3 linked regions of the Astyanax mexicanus genome follow. The protein of the gene in region 1 purifies or fractionates together with the protein of each later gene. This does not show direct contact. Links are inferred from orthologs where the notes say so. Each region holds a gene or a part of one and is shown in the gene's direction. Other genes may lie near its edges. The genes, in order: polr3e, polr2h and si:ch211-140b10.6.

Evidence for each region.
Region 2: the proteins of polr3e (region 1) and polr2h purify together in Homo sapiens (affinity purification with mass spectrometry; 3 studies listed by BioGRID and IntAct, with this or other methods). This does not show direct contact. The link is inferred for Astyanax mexicanus from reciprocal best matches to the Homo sapiens genes POLR3E and POLR2H.
Region 3: the proteins of polr3e (region 1) and si:ch211-140b10.6 purify together in Homo sapiens (affinity purification with mass spectrometry; 3 studies listed by BioGRID and IntAct, with this or other methods). This does not show direct contact. The link is inferred for Astyanax mexicanus from reciprocal best matches to the Homo sapiens genes POLR3E and POLR1D.

The regions. Positions count from the first base shown.
Region 1 is NC_064422.1:28,327,046-28,334,730, reverse strand, and holds the start of polr3e (DNA-directed RNA polymerase III subunit RPC5), read left to right. Parts: upstream 1-2,458; 5' UTR 2,459-2,610; intron 2,611-6,621; 5' UTR 6,622-6,717; coding exon 6,718-6,756; intron 6,757-6,864; coding exon 6,865-6,915; intron 6,916-7,030; coding exon 7,031-7,108; intron 7,109-7,204; coding exon 7,205-7,320; intron 7,321-7,484; coding exon 7,485-7,567; intron 7,568-7,652; coding exon 7,653-7,685. UniProt on the Homo sapiens protein: DNA-dependent RNA polymerase catalyzes the transcription of DNA into RNA using the four ribonucleoside triphosphates as substrates.
Region 2 is NC_064423.1:25,661,146-25,668,830, reverse strand, and holds polr2h (DNA-directed RNA polymerases I, II, and III subunit RPABC3), read left to right. Parts: upstream 1-3,536; 5' UTR 3,537-3,720; intron 3,721-4,968; 5' UTR 4,969-5,006; coding exon 5,007-5,079; intron 5,080-5,247; coding exon 5,248-5,331; intron 5,332-6,063; coding exon 6,064-6,157; intron 6,158-6,361; coding exon 6,362-6,445; intron 6,446-7,326; coding exon 7,327-7,444; 3' UTR 7,445-7,580; downstream 7,581-7,685. Other genes in the region: lisH domain-containing protein ARMC9, read right to left, coding at 1-160, 574-699, 983-1,057. UniProt on the Homo sapiens protein: DNA-dependent RNA polymerase catalyzes the transcription of DNA into RNA using the four ribonucleoside triphosphates as substrates.
Region 3 is NC_064408.1:96,429,352-96,437,036, forward strand, and holds the start of si:ch211-140b10.6 (protein POLR1D-like), read left to right. Parts: upstream 1-2,712; 5' UTR 2,713-2,809; coding exon 2,810-2,841; intron 2,842-5,087; coding exon 5,088-5,162; intron 5,163-7,165; coding exon 7,166-7,523; 3' UTR 7,524-7,685.

The DNA.
Region 1 (7,685 bases):
ATACATTTATACATTTAAATGTTAAATGCAAGACACATTGTAAAACAATATAAATAATCATTTAGAGTCTTTAGGGTGCTGCCAGATGGAGATTCAGAGGAAATGTTATTATTAGTAGTAGGACTAGGATTCATTTTGATTATTAAGATACTTTTGATCGTAGACTGTGTGTTAAAACTGGCCTGCAGCCACAAATATTCACGTATGTATGACCAATAGCGAATTAAACCTCTCATGTTACAAAGTGACAGAAGCGGGAATCGAACCCACGCCGCCGGATTCATATCCCATAGGAACCAATGCAATATAAAACGTGTCGATTTCTTATGCTTAGAAACGCACATATGTCTTTCTAATGACAAAAATCAAAGTACAATCCTCCTTTCTTCTCATTTTTTCCCCTATTTTCTTTCTTTTTCCTTTTTTTCTCTCTTTTTTCTCTTTTTCCTTCTTCCCCCTTCTTCCCCTTCTTCTACAGACTATTGTTCCCCAGCTTTCGTCAGACGGATCAGCTGTTTGTTTGTTTCTCTGCTGCAAAGTTGGGAAAACCACTTTCGAAGCAGCGACTATTCCACTGGCTGGTGGAGGTTATTCAAGGGGCCTACAGGGCTGCAGATCGTCCCCTATCTGCCCCGACTACAGGACATTCTGTTCGAGGTATCGCCACATCCTGGGCTGCGCTTTGAGGAGTGTCTCTACTGGAGATTTGTGCAGCAGCCACATGGTCGTCACCATGCACATTTTCTCTTTTCTACAGTATGAATGTGGCAGCCGCTGAGGGCTTATCTACGGCGGTTCTGTCCGGAGTCTCCTCGTGACATCGCTGGTATGCTTTATCCACATTAAGCACCGCCCTGGCGGTCAGGAACTATGAAACATAACATTAGTTACGTATGTAACTGTGGTTATGTGAATAGTGGATGACCGCCAGGGTTCTTGGTCACTCGGATTGCAAGAAGAACCAGGACTTGAGGAGGAGCAGCGAGTGCCAGGGGGTATTATACCCCTGCATGCGTCACACGCTGTGTCACGTGAGTGACTTCGTTGGTATACTACTCTCGGTTTGCCGTGGGCACGGCAGTGATACATTCACATTAAGCACCGCCCTGGCCGTCATCCACTATTCACATGACCACAGTTACGTACGTAACTAGCGTTTTAGAACTGCAATTTGAGTGTAAAGCAGGAACTGTGCTTGTAGTTTAGTAGAACAGGTTCAGGGGATCGGTGCCTAAGTTACATGTTGTGGTCTATGTGTCTCATGCACCAATATTTTTGTGCAAATTATCGAGAAAAACTGTAATTCCATTTTTATTTGCGTTTTTAGCATTTAGCTCTATTCATCTTTTTAATTACTCTTTTTAATTACTCCCGGACTCCCCCCTCGCGGTTGTCAGTAATTTAATTATGTATGAAGTGTAATATGAAGTGGGCATGCTCTCCATAAACAGGCTCTGAACCGATGAAGCCGGCCAGCAGAGTTGCCAGGTTTCTGCTTTTCCCACCAAATTGTGCTTGTTTGAAAATCTAGTTGCGGGGTGGCGGGGTGCTTTTGTATAGGCTACTTTCAAATTACAACATTAAAAACCAGTAGAACATAACGACATGAACAGCGGGAAAAGGAGAGAAGGAGGAAGAGAGAGAGACAGAGAGAGAGAGAGGGAGAGAGAGAGAAATCACTACGTAACCAGAAATCACAAAACGATCAAAAAATTGTTAAAGGGCGAGAGAAGTGAGTTCAGTAGAGGCAAGAACTGAAATGAGAAAGAAAAGGTTTTTTTTTGCTAATTATGTTACTGTTAAATGTTCTTGACTGGGATATAAACCTGCTATAAAAGAACTAATAAAACACTAATGTTACAATATTATGAATTACTTTAAGATAAATAGCAATACATCCCAATAAACAATGTTGTATAAACTACGGAGAACATTTCTCCCAAATTCCAAATAAAAATATTGTCATTTAGAGTATTGTTTGCAGAAAATGGGCAATAGCTGAAATAACAAAACAGATGCAGAGCTTTCAGACCTCAAATTATGCAAAAAAAAAAAAAAAAAAAAAAAAACAGGTTCATATTTATAAAGTTTCAAGAGTTCAGAAATCAATATTTGGTGCAATAACCAAATATTGTTTTTCATGCATCTTCACATGTTTTCCTTCACCAGTCTTACACACTGCTTTTGTACTTTTTGTGCCTGGTGCAAAAATTCAATCAGTTCAGCTTGGTTTGATGACTTGTTGATCATTCATCTTCCCCCTAGATTATATTCCAGAGGTTTTCAATTTGATAAAATCCAAGAAATCCATATTTTAAGTGGCCCAGAGCTGTATATTAAACACGGGCTAGTTTAAGCTTTCGAATGGAGGATTTTAGACTGACTTTGGGCTGGGTAATTGTATTGGACCTGGCAACTCTGCCGGCCTGACTGTGCATTGCATCATGGGAAGAGACAAAGCACACAGCTCCTCCCCACGTGTCTGTCTGTAGGAAGCCCTGGAATCAGCAACATGGAAGTAGAGCGCAGATTCTGACAAATTCACCCCGCTCAGCTCTACTCCCAGACCGGGGAAGCTTCTTCCGGTCCGGTTCTCCTAGTGAATCTCAGGTCGGGATTTATTCTTTATCTATTAATAAAGTCTTATATTGTTTCGGGAACTGAGGCCTGGAAACGTGATTGTTGTATTGTAGCTACTATGGACTGAGCTACAGCGTTAGCTAACCTAACCTAGCTCACTAACGCTAGCTCCCTGGCTAAACTTAGAGCTGTAGCTGGAAAGTCTAGTTGTTAGCTTGGTTATTCTTTAATTGACGATAAACGTGTTGAATTGTTCTGAAATGTAGCTAACAGGGGTAACATGGCTACCTGTAATTCGAGATTAATGTGTTTGAAAATACCCACCACCCTGTTTGTTGGGATACATGCATGTAGACACGAGTGACAGATGCAGGAGTGAAGGAGAGAGCTCGACTCACCATGGACAGTAGTGTGAAAACGTCTTTTATGAGGCCCATTATGAGTAACTTACAATCATAAAAATGCATTTATTGTGTGATCAGTTCATATAGCCTTAGCTAACTACTCAAAAACGTCCAGTCTAGCTACAGATCAGATCCTGACGTGTGCACGTGTTCTGGTATCTGTGAATTAAATTCTAAGATAACTAAAGCAGCCTGTCTAACGTTAAATGGGAATGAACGTGTAGTTTCGTTCTGTTATCAGTTGTATTAACTATTTACAAATGATTTTAAATGGTCACAAAATATCTAGATCCCCTTTATGTTGTTATGTAGTTCTTATGTGGCTGATTAGCTACAGGAGATCTTTCAAAGTGAATCTTCTGCTCTTTATGATGTTGGCTGTTATCTAACTCTTACTTTAGCCTACTTAGTTATGCTTAAATGTGTTAGTCATGCAGAGTAGACATGGGTGTGGATGTAAAAGACTTTAAGACACAGTAGCAGCCAAACATGTGGACACATCTTCTCATTCCATGTTTTTCCTTCTTCTTGTTCTCTTCTTTTACTTCTTTTCTAAAATGTAGATTAATATTAAACTATACTGTAGAATTCTGTGATTAATCATGATTAATCACAAAGTTTCTTCTTTTAGACTAAGCTGTTGATAATAGGTATTCAAATGTGAAAAAATAAATCAGTGTTAAACACTTAGATTTGTGTTATTGGTGCCAATCCCTACACATAATTGTATTATTCATAGCAATATTGTATATGGATAAAATAATGATTGCATTTCTTTTTAATAACAAATAGGTTTAATGGCAAAAAATTCAAGGAGTCACAGAGACTTTGTCATTCACATCACATGTGGTACATGAGGTGGAACAAAATTGTATTCTCATGATCCAGTTACACCCAAAAGAGCAATTGTTTAAAATGATAAATATAAGACAAAATAAAAAAGAAAAATATATAAATATAAATACACAAAATAGGGAGAGTATGCAAGTAGCAGCAACATTAAGTCCAGAGTGCAAGTTGTGCTATAGCAGCTTGATGGTGTGAATGAAGAGCAATAACATGATTGTGTCTCAGTGAGAGTGTGAAGTGACAGTGTTGTTTTAATATGTAAATGTCCTTGTAAAGTGTCAGTGTGTTGACTAGGTGGAGTTTAAGAGTCTTACAGCAAAATCAACGCTAGTCTAGCTTCATATTCCACCTTCAACAGCTTGAAAAAGATGAAACGTGCTGTCAGCTTTGAGTGTGCATGTGAATGGTTGATTGATAGATAGATAGATAGATAGATAGATAGATAGATAGATAGATAGATAGATAGATAGATAGATATAATAACACGACAAAACAAATAAAGAACACATGGAATTACATAGTAAACAGTAAAAAGTGTTTGTTCTCCTCAATCTCCGGACCTAAACACAAATTATGGGTAATTTGTGATGAGCTGGAGCTTCACAGTGTGAAGGAAAAGCAGCAATTATTGTTCAGCACCTCCAGAAACTCCTTCAATATGCTGAGAAAACTATTCCAGGTGACTCTCCCTCGTGAGAAAATACGAACAGTGTGCAGATCTGTCCTCAAAGCTGAATGTGTCTACTTATAAGAATCTAAAGTATAAAACATATATTCTGGGTTTTTTAACACTTTTGTTTACTATTTAGAGTTATCCATGTTTTTGTATAGCTTTAATGACTTCAATATTCATTTTACAGTTAATTATATAGTATATTCTAGCATGCCAAAAAATACACCAGCAGCCGTAGTTTCTTAAAAACTGTTATTTCAATTAATCAGGGCTAATTACTTTTTATGATAGTTGGTATGGTATGGTAGTTGGTATTAGTGTCCTTTAAGCATCGAGGATATCTATGATTTCACGGAGAAAGTGAATTGAATACAAATTTCATGATATGATGTATAGTACGTTTCTATTTCCCACCCCTTATACAGAATAGTTTGATTTAAAATGCTAAAGTTCTACAAAACAGAGTAAACGCTCATTCTGGTGGTAAAATGTTCCAGGTGTAGACGCTGGCTAGTTTTTACCGCTTCCATAACAAAAAGAATAGGGCTTGTATGGTTAGGCCAACTAGAAACAAGCTGGTTTTGTGTGTGGGTTCCATGTTGGCATTACATATAGATAGTGCTCAGAGTCAGTGATGTGCCCAGGAAAGCATAACAATGGGGGCCCTATATGGGTTTAACACTGTGCACTGGGGCCTACGCTGGACACCTGTGGGACTCAGGACATTTTCACACCTGAAAGCCCAGACCAGAGTCTGCACTAATCTTCATGTCTTTGTTCGGTTGTATACATATGTTCTGGATAATTTTTGTTTCACGCTGCAGTTTAATGAGCGGAATAAAGAATTTTTTACTACACCCAGTCGATATCAGCTACATCTACGTGAGCTGCTTCTCTATATACTGCATATTAATTGCCAGGTGTTGTGACAAAATCTAGCTCTCTGTCAGAATCCGATTTCCCTTTGCGGACACATGCGCATCCATAGCAGCAGAAAGAGTGTAAAAGATTGTCCTCAGATTCCTTTTATTTCTGTTTTTAAATGAGGCTCGATCTACTGTTAAGTCAATGAATTACCAGTCTAAGCGTTAATCTGGTTTGTTTAAAGACTGCCTCAACTTTCTGTAATTGGTCTGAAAGTTTGAACACTGCAGATAAACCGGACCATGGTTCAGTCGATGGTTCAGTCTTTTTGTTCTGGACTGTGGTTCACAGCTTATGTCAAACCTGCTGTTTTGTTTCGGACGCAAACTGAAAAGTTTAAACAACTAGACCAAACAAAGCGAGTGTAAAAGCACCTTAAGGTGCTTGTAATGATGTGGCCTGTATTGGAAGCCCAACTTGGTCTTGACTTCACCATAACCACAGACTCGTGTGCTCTCTCTTTCCCCCCGACAAAGGTTGCTAGGAACCTGGGTGTTATGGTTGATGACCAGCAGTTGCTTGATCCTGCCGCTATGCACTTTACCACATCAGACAAATTTGACCGTTTCTATCACAACAGGCCACCGAACTCCTGGTACAACCAGTGATCGTCTCGTGCCTCGATTAGTGCAATGCCATACTAACGGGCCTCCTGGCCTGTGTTTTAAAATCACAGCAGCACGTCTGGTCTTCAACCAGCCAAAACGGGCACATTTCACCCCACTGCTCATTGAGCTCCATTGGCTACCAGTTGCTGCTCGTATCAAATTCAAAGCTCTTACAATCGCCTACAAGGTGATGACAGAACAGCTCCTTCCTACCTGCACTCACTCCTGAAGGCTTACGCTACCTCCCGGCCGCTGCGCTCCTCCAATTTGGCTTTGCTAAACATTCACACAAAGCAATCCAGACTGTTATCATACAGAGTTCCACAATGGTGCAACAAACCTTCTTCTACTACCAGATCAGGAGCGTCCCTCCCTATTTTTAAGAGACTCCTTTTCTCCTTTCACCCACTATTTCCTTTTAACCTCCTTTAGGCCCTGTCTAAACAAGTTTTTTTACCTTGAAGTTCTATTATTCTAATAAAATCCAGGCCAAACAAGCAATGTGTTAAAGCCCATTAAATAAAAGACATGCCACAAACATTTTTTGCCTAAATCTCTATTATTTTTGTATTTATGTTTACAGCCTTTGCATGGTTTGCTGTGACCAGCTCATCAGTTCTGTATTTCCTGGTTCGGAGTTCATAAGCCTGAGGCAAAGTTTCCTCCTCGTCCTTTAACAATGGCCAGCGGAGAGGAGGATGACCCGATTATACAAGAGGTACGTGTTTGACCCTCAGTGTTTGTATAAACATGCATTGCTGCGCTTAAACCTGCCAGAGACACACAGACATGATGATCTTATTTGCTTTTTCTTTATTGTTTGAAGATTGACGTTTATCTTGCCAAAAGCCTCGCAGACAAGCTGTATTTATTCCAGGTAAGATTGATGAATTTCTTCTGATCCATTTGAAACTGATTGTGATGTTTGGTTTTGATGTGTGAGCTTGGAGTAGTTGAATGATGAATGAAATATGAAATTTCTCCTCTTACAGTATCCTGTGCGCCCTGCCACTATGAACTATGATGATACAACTCATTTATCTGCCAAAATTAAACCTAAGCAGCAAAAGGTCAGATTTCTTCAATAGTTTTGAAGAGATTTTGAAATGAATTTAATTTAAGATATAATTCAGATCACACTTTGTTCTCTACATTTCTGTGCTCAGGTTGAACTTGAGGTGGCCATTGAAACCATGAGTCCCAACTATTGCCGCAGCAAAGGAGAGCAGATCGCTCTCAATGTGGATGGAACATCAATTGAAGAGTCCAGCACTTATTCCACGTATGTAACTTACTTCACTTACGTATTTGAGGAATAGTGGAATTAATTTGCTATTACACTTATTATATTAGAAATCCTCTTTTATTTTTAAATTCCTCTTGTCCAAACCTTTTGGATTTTGATTCTAAATGTGGCACATGTTCTTTCTCCACTTTCTCCCAAAGGAAAATGATGGATAAGCAAACATTCTCATCCATTCAGGCAACTACCAATACAACTCGCTATGCTGCTGCAGTGTTTCGTAAAGGTAATTATCTGCAGTCACTCTGAATCAATCTGTGAGCACTGAGTTGTGTAAAGCCTGTCTGACTGATTGACTAATTTGCTGGCAGGGGAACTTCACCTCACACCATTACAGGGCATTC
Region 2 (7,685 bases), on another chromosome or scaffold:
CATTGTTCTTCAGTGGGTAGATTACAAAATGAATGTGTAGATAGAATTCCAGTTTCTGGACATTCGGATCACTGTCCCGAATATCCACAGGGACGTTTTCTGCCCACAGTTCAAAAAACACCTTCATATCACCATCATCGAATGAGCTGATCAGATCCTTCTGCAGACAAAACACATTTTAAGAAGTTAATTTATTGTATTTTACTGCAACAATGAAACTCTGTGTTACTAACAAAACGTGATCTGGTCATTATCAAGTCATAAGGATAGACAAATACTATCTAAAACTATACTGAAAACCCATATAGCTCTATGGTACATGTTTCTTTAATTCAGCACATTGATTGAACATTCATGTTAGAAGGCTAGAAAAAGTGACCACCAAACCCAGCAAATCCACCAAATGTTTAATTCAGCTCTAAATAACTTTTACGGAATTTCAAACCATTCCTCCCTGTAAATGTGTTTTAGATCATCAATATTTCATGGACATCTTGCTTTTCAAATGTACTGACATTTCACACTATGAAACACTCTCCCAGCACTCTAGCAATGTTTCAGAATTAGCCTTACCTGGATGATTAGGATTTTGGAGTCTACAGGAGGGCTGCTTGGTGTTTTTGGCACAGGTTTTCCTTTGCTCTTGCATTCCTTCTCAAAGATCTTCACCGTATCCTCAAACTCAGAGAACTTCAGGTACTGAAAATAATCAATTTTACATTGAGCATATGCTTTTGCTTATGAAATGGCTATGAAAATCATCAACATACAGAGCATGCAATCAGAATTCATATGTGTCAAGCTTAATATAAAAGAAATGTGAAGTCCAATGCTGCAAACTAAAGGGGTTATAGGGTCAAATAAATTTAAAAATGTGAATCAAATGCAGACATTTTAGTGTGGTAGCCCATCAAAAACCTCTGCATTGGTAAGTGACCATCCAGTCATCCATTTGAACAATCTAACATGCAGACAGACTGACCTCTTTTATCATTAAAAGGAGATCTGCTTCATTTGCCAGAATGTCCCCCATCTCTTGAGCCTTTCTGGAAGTCATGTATCCTCAACCTGCAAAAGAAGAGACAGTGATCAATCATTTAGCTCACTTATCAGTTAAATACATAACTGTCCTACTTCAACACACCATTGTATGAAGAGTATGCTGATAAACTGCATGAAACTATTTGGGAGATTTTTATTGTTTGGCAACTTTTTTCAGACTCTTGTTTATTGTTTTGATAACAAGCTGATTTTTTGAATCACCCATGCGTTATCAAGAGGGCCCTTACAAATGTGACATAGTTTTGCCCAAAATCAACAAATAGTAGTGCATTTCAAAAAAATAGAATCATTAAAAAGTTGCTTTATTTCAGTAATTCAGTTTGAAATGTGAACCTCATATATTATATAGATGTGATACACACACAGTGATCTGTTTATTTTACTGTTGATGATTATGGCTTACAGCCAATGAACACCCAAAAGTCAGTGTCAGTTTTGGCAGTGTGCCAGGTCCTGCTGAAAAATGAATCCGCATCTTTATAAAAGTTGTCAGCAGAGGGAAGAAGCATGAAGTGCTGTAATATTTTCTGGGAAAACAACTGCACTTTAGACTTGATGAAAAAAAAAAAAAATGGTTTCCAACACTAGCAGATGACATAGCTCCCCAAACCATCACTAATTGTGGAAACTTCACACTAGACCTCAAGCTGTTTGAACTGTGTGCCTCTCCACTCTTTCTACAGACTTTGGTCTCTTTATTTCCAAATGAAATGGGTTGGAGAGGACTTGGCACATGGATGGATGGATGGATGGATATTGTGTCTTTAGGAAAACTGATGTCAGCCACACAGAAAGTGCAAATACACAGTTATATAATAATTTAAATTTAGCAGTGCAAAAGATACGTAAACAGTAGATGAGTGAACTAGTGAATGAACTACTAGTGCAAAATAGGGTAGAACTATAAAAATATTATTATAGGCATTAGTAAGTCTAAAAGTGTGTCCATAGCTGAGTGTGTGTCCATAGCTGAGAGTGTGTCCATAGCTGAGAGTGTGTCCATAGCTGAGAGTGTGTCCATAGCTGAGGGTGTGGCCATGGTGTGGCCAGAGTTACCAGAATGAAAAGAAAAAAATACAAATTTCCTGAGACATCGATTTTCTTTTTCTGAAAGCCATAATCATCAAAAGTAAAAGACAAACGTTTAAAATAGACCACTCTGTGTGTAATACATTTCTATATAAGCTTAACATTTTGAACTGAACTACTGAAATAAAGTACATTTTCAATGATATTCTGATTTTCTAGGTGCACTAAAATACTAAGAACATAAAAAGGCACATGTATGTCTTTATTTCTTCACATATACATATTTTTATTTATGGTCCACTTCTATGACTCACTGTGTTGGAAGATTGTATATAAAAACAAAAGTGATAAATAAATACATAAAAATATAAGAATTTAATGAAATGGTGTAATAACCAAAATATGTTTTTTTGCCTGAGGATAACACTGCCATAGAGAGATAAACTGCTCTGTGTCTGCAAACGAGAGATATAAGCTGTATTACCTCAGCTTTTAAGGTTTAGGTTCTCCACTTTCTTGGAAATAGGAGGATAAACCCTTGCCTCCATGAATTTTTAACAACCACGTGGATACAATCCAAATGCAGCAAGATAAGATTAAAAGAGCATCCTCACATTTTAGGCACAGTTTGATGGTAAGTCTCGAAAATGTAGTCTTGCATTTTATTTTTCAGCATAAGAACAGAAAAAGAACCAAAACCAACAATACTAGCTTGTGTTAACTACCAAACTACAGCCATCGACATAAATACTAGTGAGTTTAAGTAACCCAGCTGGCCAGTTTAACCAGTTTAAACAGTTTAGCAGCGCCTTCTTAGATAGCTTATGTTGTTTTTGAAATAGATAACATGCTAGCAAATTAGTGTAATATAACGTTTAGAGCTCAGTAAAGCGTGTAACAAACTCCACACTCTGAAAGAAAGCATTAAAAGCATTAGCTGCACTGTTAGCTTAGCCCCTATGCTCATAGGTAAATAAACACCGCGCGGCACTCACCTCAGTCAAAAACACCCTTAAATGCAATAAAAATATCACTACTCATTTCTCAAAGTGAAAAATGTCCTTATATTATAAAACGGAAGGGTTAAAAAGCCAGAAAATGTTTGCGCAGGTCCGTAAAAGCAGCGAGTGGAGTTTAGCTTAGCCTAGCCTCACAGGCGCTGGTGCTGTTAGTCACTATAGTAACAGCTTTTGGGACGCTCTACACCTGGCAACACCATCCGGCAAGAGGATGTAAGTGTCGTGAGGATTTGTAGTTTTTGTCCGAGGTGATGTAGTCCAAGCCAGAGTTCGGAGACAGCATTATTATTATTGTTTTGTGTTAAATTACACAAAGATTAAATTTTATTGGAGCTGCAATAATAATAACGATAATAAGTAAATAAATAATAATTAAAAAATATATACAAATATTTAAAATGTATGTGTAAATAAAAAATGCTTTCGGCGCCACCGGAAGTACACGTGAAGCCGTAAAGAATCAACAGTAAGGCGCGTGTTCCGCTGGAGTTCAGTAATAAATGAATGAAACCTGTTATCAGAGGTTTAATTTAGTAGAAATTCACGCGGATTATCGCCGTGTCTGAACGCGTTTCAACATATTTGGTGACTAAAGCGCATCAGCTTAAAAGTAAGTGACTTTTAAAGACTATTTTTTTTTTACCTAAACCAAGCAGAACTGAAGGGAAATACCGGCGAAGCTAGCTTAGCTAGCTTGCTAGGGTGCTAACTAACGTGTTTAGAGGAACCAGTGTTTAGCTAACGTTACATTCATCCATAAACCAAGAGTCCCCGTGTGTTTCAGACTGAATCAAACAGCGTTAATTAACACATAAAACGAGTGGGTAAATATAACCTATGTAGTAATTTAAATAAAAGTCTGGGGTTAAGTTCATGTCCAGGGTTTTATATCTAGCTAGGTTTGTTAACCTGGGCAGCCAACTATCTGGCTATCTATTTACCTGTTTTCTTCTTTGGAGTTAGTGGTAAAGTGAACGACTTATAAAGAGTTTTTTTATCCATCCAAAACAAGCTGAACTACAGTAAAATGTTGGCTAAGCTAGGTTAGCTAGCTAAGATTCTAGCTAACTTGTTTAGAGTAACGTTACAGGAACCAGTGTTTACTTTTATCCATAAACCAAGAGCCTAAGTATTGATTTAGCCTGAATCAACAACCATTAATTGATATATGAATAAGACTAGGCAAATATAACCCATATAGTGATTTAATTGAAGGTCTGGGATTAAATGGCTAAATTCATGTCCATAGTTACATATCTAGTTAGGCTAGCTAACCACGGCAGCCAGCCAGCTAGCTACTAACATGTTTTCCTCTTTGGCGATAGTGTTAAAGTAAGTGACTTATAATAAGCAGTTTGTAGATATCGAAAAACAAGCAGAACTGCAGGGAAATGTTGGCTAAGCTAGGTTAGCTATCTAAGATTGTAGTTAATGTGTTTCCTAGTTACTTTTGTGTCCAAAATTTCCCCTCGGGGATCAATAAAGTATATAGCTATCTAGCTATCTATCTAGCTAGCTAGCTACAGTACATGACATGTTTACATTCATCCATAAACCAAGAGCCTGATTGTGTTTCAGACTGAAACAAATAATCAGTTAATAAATTAATAAGAGTGGGTAGATGTATAGGGGGCTGTATATGGTGGTTTAAATAAAGTGCTGGGGTTGAATGGTGAAGTTCCTTTCCGTGAAGTTTACTAGTTATATAGTTAGCTAACTATACTGAGCAGTCAACTGGCTAGCTTCCTGCTTTCTCGTTTACCTCTTTGTAGATGATCTTATGTGTCTTAAAGTTGGTTAGATGTTGATTTATATGTTAACTAACCAGTACAGCTGTGTGTGTGTTTTTTTTTATCAGAGTGAGCTTCCTGGGCAGATCAGCAGTGGTCTGTAGAGATGGCTGGAATTCTGTTTGAAGATATTTTTGATGTGAAAGATATCGACCCAGATGGGAAGAAGTTTGACAGAGGTGAGACCAACCTGCAGCAAATCCTAATTTTAACCCATTTATCGTTTGTTAGTGATGCTCCAGTATGGGAATTGTGACAAAACAAACAGTTCTTGTAGAAACTGTGAGTTAATCCATCTGGATCACAAACACACAGAGATAATGCTAATTTTATCTGTTCTCTTCCAGTGTCTCGGCTTCACTGTGAGAGTGAGTCTTTTAAAATGGACCTCATCCTGGATGTGAATACTCAGATCTATCCTGTTGATCTTGGTAAGGGAGACGTGTTGTTGTTGTGGCCCAAAATGTGACTAGATGTGTTGAATGACATTTTCATTTCCTAAATGGGCCACGTCAATTTGTGGTATTAAATTGCTATACATATCTAATGCATGGCAATGTGGCACTATATAAACATATAGACTGAAATTAATGTGACTTTTACAGCAATGTATAGGAAAAAGGACTGAGAGTAATGGCTGTGAGTAGATTAAAATAAAATGGAATGCAGCAGTGATTTAAGGGCTTAATTGGCAGATAAACTAGGTAACAGATCTAGTATCTGAACTTATGTTTGTAATAATATTGGAAGACCCAGGTAGCAGCCACACCGTGTTCCTAATGAATTGGCCAAACATGGCTGCAGAAAGCAGCTGCAGCGTAGAAGGAAAAAAAATCTAAATAAATTAAAATTTAACCGTCCTTTTTTTAGGAAGGCTCCAGTGAATTTTCAGCTATAAACCAACAGCCTGAACTATAGCTCCTGAAATACTGACTGGGATTAAAGTGAAACTTAACATGAAGCATTGCTCTGTGGTGCATGCGTGTCTCTTATAAAACGCAAACCGTTTAGACAGAGTCGGATATGGGTAACATAAATAAATAAATAAATAAATAATTAAATGAAAGTAGTGTGTGAACATTTACACACCTGTTCTGTGGGAGTAAAGGAACATGTTTAATAATCTTAAATAAGTTAAATAATATATTGTATCTTTATTTCAGGGGACAAATTCAGATTGGTAATAGCTAGCACACTGTACGAAGATGGCACTCCAGATGATGGAGAATACAACCCTCAAGACGACAGACCATCCAGGTAAAACCTGTTTACATATTAGTATCATTTTACTGTACATAACAATATATGGTATTTGTTTTATTAAATTAGTCTTCTGCAAAAAAAAAAAAAATAATAATAAGTTGGCAGAAAGAAATGTTTAATAAATGATTACCAATAAATGCATACTCTGTGCTGAAATGATTACTTTTTAAATGTTAAGTCTGTGTTCTTTTTCTCCAGGGCGGATCAGTTTGATTATGTGATGTATGGCAAAGTATATAAAATTGAAGGTGATGAGACTTCAACAGAAGCAGCTACACGACTGTAAGTGTCAAGTGTCATTATTGTCATCTTTCTGTTTCCTATAAAGTTACACATACTTAAGAATATATTTACAATCATACAAATGTTTGGCACCCCAAAATGCGACATATAGTTGATTTCTTAAGTGTTCATTAGTTTACATATCAAGAAACCATCCTGCACATTTTAATGCATTTTAAGTTCTGTGTAAAAATATTTTCTTTCATGTTATTTTGAAACTTTTTCATTTATCACATTCACACAGCAGCTGCATGCATAACACACAGATATGCAATATTTTGCTGTTATAGCAAAACCTATCTACAAAAAAAACTATCTACCTGCAAGGTCCTATTAGGAAAATAAATGTTTATGCATCAAAAACACCACAATTGTCCAAACTCTCTATATAAAAATTAAGCAGACTATGCATTTAAGAGTCAGATACGTTTGGCTGCCTTGTGTTCTTTGTCTACAGCAGTCTTTTTGAATGTAAAAAAAAGCAGGGAAAACGTTCTACGCTGAATTCATTAATATAAATGTATATCCAATTGCCTTTGTGACATCACAAAAACTGAATTTAGAACAGGCTTAGTTTACCGACTTGGAAACTAGCAACTAGCTATTTTTACACACTAAATCCATACTATTGCTCTTTTATTTCAGAAAATGAGAGAAACATTCAAATTCCATTATATGGCCAAATAAATATATGTATTTGTAATATGTTTTATTTTAAGTCTCATTGGCCCCGTTCTATTGGTCTATTCTTGAAATACTCTCACAATTTGAAAGGCAGCTGATCTTTTTAACTATTGTGAGTTAAGCAGTATGAATGGTAGTGGTGACATGAAAATCTTCTAATCCTCCTTCTTTACCTTTCTTTATTCTGTTTTCCACAGCTCAGCTTATGTATCATATGGTGGTCTACTCATGCGACTACAGGGGGATGCCAACAATCTGCATGGATTCGAGGTGGACTCAAGGGTCTATTTACTCATGAAAAAGCTTGCATTCTAACAAAATTTGCCTTATGCTGCCCTGAGGAACGATATTGCTCTCTAGTGGAAGAACGATGGACACTCAACACTTAGGATTTTTTTTAAGCTGGTGAAAAATAACATCAAAATTATGTAAATAAAACGTTTTATATGTATTTGTTTGACTTGTGTTTATTGAATGTTGGATTATTGGATACATTATGTTTTAGAAGAACAGTGATATGTAATTGAAACTGCTACTATTACTACTAAATTTTATA
Region 3 (7,685 bases), on another chromosome or scaffold:
ATGCCAGACTGCTGTCTTGGTGAAGACAACCAACAAATCCATGTAAGACACTGTGATTCACTGTCAGTCAGTGCCAAGGTCAATGGTTTACTGTCACGAGGCATACATCCAGAGGACCAGGTGTCATGGGCACCTAGTGTGGGGTGCAATTTCTTAAGATGCCAAATCACCTTTTGTCTTCATTACAGGCGTGTTAACAGTCCAGCGTTACTAGTATTAGTAAAATTCAGCAACCAGTGGTCCTGCTCTTTTCTGAAAGCACACTCTGGCACACTATATGTCCAACAGGACAATGCTCATACACACTGCTGCTGCTGTCTTAAGAGCTTGCCTTGAAGACACAGATACTATGCCATGGCCAGCCAGATTATCAGACTTCTCCCAGACTGAAAATGTATGGGACACTCCACCCAACCACCACAAAATCTGCAGGAACTGGGAGAGAATATTCATGCTGCATGAGATGGGTTATCGCATGCCACCATTAGGAACCTCTACAACTCCATGCAGAGAAGTCTGGCATGTTGTGATACACGTGGATAACAAACTAGTCTTGTATGTGTGTAGCCTAATTAATATGACAAATATTGACTGATATTGTTCATATCAGTCATTGCAACTTAACACTTCCTTCTGAGTGCAACTATTTTTATAACCACTTCTTTGATGATGAGGGTATGTACTGCTGTTTCACCATCATCATTCCATTAGGGATCTCATTTATATGAAACTCATTCACAAAAAAAAAACATTTGTATGTTCACTGGTGGCTTTAAATAGTGCAGAAATTTGTTATATTTGTGTTATAGACATAGTGACCCCATGGTGATCCAAGGCCATAAGTTACTATTAAAGATAGAGCATTTCAAACCACTCTGTATGACTTTGTTTACCTCTCAGTGATTCAATTATTCCCTTTCAGTTCAGGTTTCATTCTCTGAAGAGCATCGTTCATTGCCCTAAATCTACCCCAAAACCAGGTTGATCTAGGCAGAGAGCAGCAGTACGTAACATGCAGCCATTTCTGGAGAGTCGCCTAAAATGATGTGCAGATTGAAGGCTATTGTCTTAGTCAGCAGCAGAAACAGCATAATAAACCCTGACAGAATGATGACGCCTGACGTCACAAGCTCATTGGAGGCTGTGTGTTTGAGGGGGAATGGAGGATGTGTCACCAGTCACACACTCTCCATTCTCCCAAACACAGAGTCCATTCACTCAAGCACACAGCCTCACACACATTCCCCCTTAATGCAGAGGCAGCCTTTCCTCAATCACACAGTCTCTCCTAATGCAACATATTAGCTTCACTAACAAGCTCTGTCCTGGACATGCTAACCTGGTTAGCATCCATTTCATTTGCAATTTCATTCCATGTCCTTCACTCTACCAAACATAAAAAAACATATAGAGCATCCATCCTATAAACAAACAAAGCATGCATTCCCATATATACATAGCATCCATTCCCATAAACACACACAGACACACATACATAGCATGCATTCCCTTATACATGTAGCATCCACCCCCTAGCTTACCTATACAAAACACAGCATCCATCCCCATAAACACACAGCTTCATCAGCCAACCTACATACATCCCATTGGTCCCCCTAAAACAAAGCATGCACCCCCCTCTGAACAAAGCAGGCATCCCTATAAAAAAAACAAGGCACACACATGCTTTTTCAACCCGCATTCTCCACCAGTGCCCTAACACATATTATCAATACAGTCACTTAAATGCTCATAGCAATGCATCCCACCTCATCACCTAAACAAAAAGCATCCAGGAGCAGCAGCATCCCCCTAAACAAAAGCATCCCACTTACCCTAAACACACAGGCTGCACAGAGGCTGCATTCCTCAGCCACACACCTTCCTAATGCAATGTCTCATCTGAGAATGCTGCTGGCCAGCTTTATCCAGTTCAGACATGCTCTCAACTTCACCCTCATTCCCTTATACCACATCCTCGCATTAATGCACAGTTTTAACAGCACTGACAGCCTTTAAATCTACATTAGACATGCAGACATCCCACCCAGTTCACCCTCATTAATTACCCATTCAACCCCTAGCATCCATTCCCCCAAACACAACCTGCATTCTTCAATGCAACAGCCTCCATTCCTCCATCCTACATCATACCACCATACATCACCATACATCCTCCATTCTCACATCACAACCTCCATCCATCTATCCATCCCTCCATCCCTCCAATTAACCCTCAACAAAAGACAACAGTGTCCCTGTTCATCCTGCATCCTCCTACCTCTCTCCTCGTGCTCGTGCTCCAGTCACCTAGTAGTTCTCGGTCACATCCACCCCCAGCCCCCACGCTCAGCCGCCCCTTCGCCCCTCAGATCTCCCCCAGCAGGCTCCGTCCTTCTCGGCCATCAGTTGCGGCTCCTCTCCGCTGCTTCAGCTCACTCCAGCCTCTCTCTCCGGCTGTCGGTCTGACCAGCCAAATCGCGCCCTCTGCCCCGCCTGATCAAAACACGACCTACATGCTGGGTTTTGCCCTGTCACAGATCGTAATACGCATAATTACTATTTATTTCCCAAGTCTAGTCACACACATACACATTTCAGTCCAAAAATTAACTAATGTCATTGCTGTATTTAGAAACTGCACTACGATTCTCTACTATTTCAGCGCTCATTCGTTCAGGCACACAGCCGCTCAGCTATTGGTCCTAAATTGGGTCCTCACGGGTGAAAACAATTTGTAGTCTTTGTAGTCTCTAAGCAATAATAGAGGAATCGCTGTAACTGGAAGTTAAAATCGTCCGTCAGTGTGATGGATAAGGATACAGCCAGTGAGTTGGAGAGGTAGGTCGTTTAACAGACGATGTTAAGCTGTTTAAATGTGATTTAATCGGGGAAATGGGATTTTAATGCTGAGCGAAAGCAGTGTTAGCCTGTTAGCTTAACGTCTATTACTGCAGAACTGAACATGAAAACATTAACCTAGCTAGTTACCTGAATATTCAGGCTAATTCACTTACATCTGGTTTGATTACATGATTTAAATCGCATATTTTTGCAATAACGAAAACCTAATGGAGATGTTGGATCTCGAACTGATCTGTGTGGTGAATTTTAAGTGTAGCTAGTTAACGTTAACATAACGTAGGTTAGCTAACTAAGTTAATTAGCTTGCTTTGGCTTCATAACAGAGGTAAGTTAACTAGCTAAGCTACAAACTGATCACTTGACAGCAGGGCAGGGTTGCCAGGTCCAAGAAAAATATTCAGCCCAAACTCAGTCTAAAACCCGCCCTTCAGAAGCTTAAACTAGCCCAAAATATCTGTCTGTCACAGGATTGAAGCAAATGGCAAAACAACTATTAGTGTACGACTTAGTATTATGTTTATAAGGGGTTTATTATCCGTATTGCTATTTATCTTTAAGTCATTAATAATATTGTAACATTTATGATTTATTTGTTTTTTATAACAGTTTTATATCCCAGTTAAGAACATTTATCGGTAATAGTAACAAAATTAGCAAAAAATAAATAAAAATAGAACTGACTTTTATTTACTTATTTCTGTTCTTGCCCCCCCTGAACTCTCTTCTCTCCTCTATAACACTTTTTTCATTGCCAGTAACTGGTTAGCTACAAACTAGGGGTACACTGAATATTTTTTTGTTTGAAACTGTACAAAATGAAATATTTAGCTAAATATCAAACGTGTTTTAATTTGCAGGTATTCATTAATTTTACCACATTTTTAGCTATTGCATAATGCAATAGCTTAAAAGCATTTTTTCTATTGCAAATATTTTTTGTTTAAATTATGTGGTCTTATTTGGCTAAACACCCAAATAATTATTTTTTTCTCAATAATAATTTTGGTTGCAAAATATGCAACCTTTTTACATTCAAATACTGTATTTAATACACAGCACACACATTGACATTAAATATGATTGATGTGTTAAACAGTCAATGTTATTAGAAATGTAGATAGTTACTGCCTATTTAGAAAAAAAAAAGTAATTATGTGTGTAACATAGTGCAGCACAGTTGCGGTACACTAACAGTAGCAGATGAGAATTAGTGCCTGTTGCAGTTTGAAATAGCAAAGGCTTATTGTCCTAAAAACAGTTGTCTCCAAATGGTAAATTGGCAGTAGGGGAAAAGTATGAACATGTTCTTAGTATTTAATGTAACTTAATGTAAAAAGATTCTGTTCTGATAAATAAACAAAAAAATATATAAGTGTATAGAAATAAATGTTTTATTCAGCATTTTTTTGTACAATAATGCATATAATTGTGCAGTATATTCAGATAATATAATAAGAACATTATTTTAAAGTGGATTGGCACTATAAATATTCTATATGTACAGTTTAGTCTTACAGAAAACTGTTACCAACCTGGAGATCCTCTTTACAGCAGATATTGATTCCAAAACACATTCGATACACCAGACCCCTTTGTTGATCCTATTCAGTGATAACAAACACTGAAGGCAGCCTGTCCAAGCATTCTGAAAACATTAGAAGCTAAAGCTGGAGCAGAATAGGGCTGGACCTAAACTCTAAAGGGTTGATTACCACTGATTGGAGGAGGGTAGAGTAGCATAAACCCATACTTGAGTAGATGCATTAAACAGAATCAAAAGCAAAATACAACATTCTTACTGTATTAGCACAAAAATTATATTTTAATTGATAGAAATATTAATGGAAATTGAAATTAATTACGTCAAGTTTACCCAAAAAGTAAAAGTATTATCTAAAAAACACTCAGAGAAGGACAAATCAAAGCTGTGCTTGAGCACATGTAATTATTTAAATGTTATTAGTTACTCCTTTCCTCTGACACTGATACAGTGGGTGTGCTATGTGTGAGGAATGGACTGTGTTCTTGCCGCTGAGGCAGCAAGTTTCTCGGGCACCTGTTTTGTGAACTGCGGTCAAAGGGCAGCTGTGGACAGTTGGTGATGCCACTAAGAGGTGGTGACTCAGCTGCTGGACTGGGTCGCTGCAGGACACACACGTGCATTCATTTCCTGTTGTCTGTTTTATGGACACTGAAGAATTAATCCATTCTCCTCCTCACAGACGTGCAGTTGAAGAACTCCTGAAAGAGGCCAGTCGAGCCAAAGTACGGGCAGAGACCATGGGGCCAGCGGGGTGGTGAGTCATTGGTGTCTATAACCTGTTTTTATTAATTCTGATGGATTTTTTTTTTTTTCCATTAAATAGTATCATTTTACAAATGTTGAGCAACAGACAGGTAAAAAAATGAATGCAGAAGAAAAAGGAGCAAAATATACAAAAAATTGTGTGGATGCAGTCATCTTTACAGACAAAGATAGATAGGAGGAAGTGTCCGCATTCAATGCACACCTTGCAGAAAATCCAAAAAACATGTTTCAACAGTCGTGGGCTTAACATGGTAAATGTTAGCAGTGATACATTAAACTTTTTGTTTATTGAGTAAATAAACCAACCAAAATTGTTCCATGTGAAGTCCAGGTGTGATCCACTTTTATTGAATTGTCTTTTCAGCAGCAGTACATGAATTTCTATAGCTTTGTCTGAATAAAGCATAAAGCAGGGGTGGACAATATTTAATCGTATTCAGTTTTATTTAATACAACATTATCATCAATACACCCATACAGTGCAGTGTAAAGTTGTTAGGCTGCCTCTCAAGTGCAATGATAGAAATGGATAAAAGGGTACGTAGTAGTAGTAGTAGTAGTAGTAGTAGTAGTAGTAGTAGTAAGTAGTGTAAAGACGACAGCCAGAGCACAAAGAGAAGGCACAGGAACTGTAAATACAATAAATATGAATAAATATGTGTATAAGCAGGAACTGCAGCTCAGCCAGAGGGGGACAATTAAAGTGACATCGGTAATTACTTTACTAATCAATAAACGTTTGTCAAAATATGGTCTCTAAGTGATTGACAGCTTAGGTATTTAGGTTGTCTTAATTTGTGTAATTAGTAGTTTAAAATATATAAGATAAGTCAGAACTGTTGTGTAAATTATATTGCACTAAATGTTTGTAAACAGATCACAGATGTACGGTATATTAACAATTTGTACAGTGCATGTAAGCATTAGCAGCTTAGTGTTAATGAATACTAATTACATCATAAATGTTTATTAACTATTTATGTTCTTATTTTCTTTTTTATTTTAGCATAGATATAATTTCTATATCTATAACCCTAAACAATTGCCTTTACCATACGATGGAGAAATATAGGTCAATTCTACAAAACCTTTTTACAACCAGTGTGTAGTAACTGGTTAAAATGTGAAAATATTTGTTGCTGTATTGTGTTTTTTTTATTTTCTTCTAATACTTTTTCTTTTGAAAATCAAATGTATTTTATAACAATATATTATACAATCTGAGACTATTATAGCATACTATATTTATTGCATTCTAAAATCATAGCATAATATTCAGCTCTGGAAAAAAACAAGAGACCACTTAAAATGATGAGTTTCTTTGATTTTACCAAATTGAAAACCTCTGAAATATAATTAAGAGGAAGATGGATGATCACATGTCATCAAACCAAGCTGAACTGCTTGAATTTTTACACCAGCAGTGGCATAAAGTTATTCAAAAACAGTGTGTAAGACTGGTGGAGGAGAACATGCCAAGATGCATGTAAACTGTGATAAAACCAGGGTTATTCCACCAAATATTAATACTCTTAAAACTTTATAAATGTAAACTTATTTTCTTTGCATTATTTGAAGTCTGAAAGCTCTTCATCTTTTTTGTTGTTTTAGCCATTTCTCATTTTCTGCAAATAGATGCTCTAAATGACTATTTTTATTCGATAACACACTGTTTACAGTGTATCATTTTTCATATATTCTTTATCTCAAATATAATAAGCTTGAAATAACAGCATTTACGACTCAAGTACCTAGAGGTGTATAGTATCGGAGCTTTCTGTTGTAGCCGATATTGTGTGTAAGAGCAAGTATCGGTGCTAATACTGATGCAGTGTTGGTATACTCTTGTGAGTATGCTGACTACCGAGAGTATGTTATTGCTTGCATATAAGAGCTTTGATTTTAATGTGTGCCGTTAGGTAATGACTATGAACTAGTTAACAATAATGAACTAGCACACAAACAGTATAATGTATATTTTATGTTTGATAGGATGAAGTGCCCTCTGGGAAGCACCAACAAACGGTTCCTGCTGAACACCCTGCGCTCGTCTGCTCTGGAGTGCCGCTCTGCTGGCCAGGCAGCTACAGAAAGGAGAGGAGACACTCGCAGGAGGGACGGGGATAAACATCGTCACAGTGAAGACAAAGAGCACAGACATAGAAAAGACAGAGAACACAGGACAGAACACACCCGCTCTCGTTCTCACTCAGAAAGGCACCACACATCCTCTAGGAGTGCTGTAGCATCCAGAGACCACTCTCCCCATCAATCAAACAGGACCCGCTCCCGCTCACCTGTCAGAGACCGGTCAGCGCTCAGGAAATCTAGAGATCGGACTCCAAAATAATGCACCGCTGGAGAGGAAGAGTCCTTATAAGTCTAGACTGCTGTGTACAGCAATTAATCTCTCAGTGAACACCAGATATCTTAAACCCTCTTGTCAGAAACTTGAACTATTTAATTGTTGTTATGCTTTTTCTGTTGATTTTTCTGAGAGGATGTACTGTTT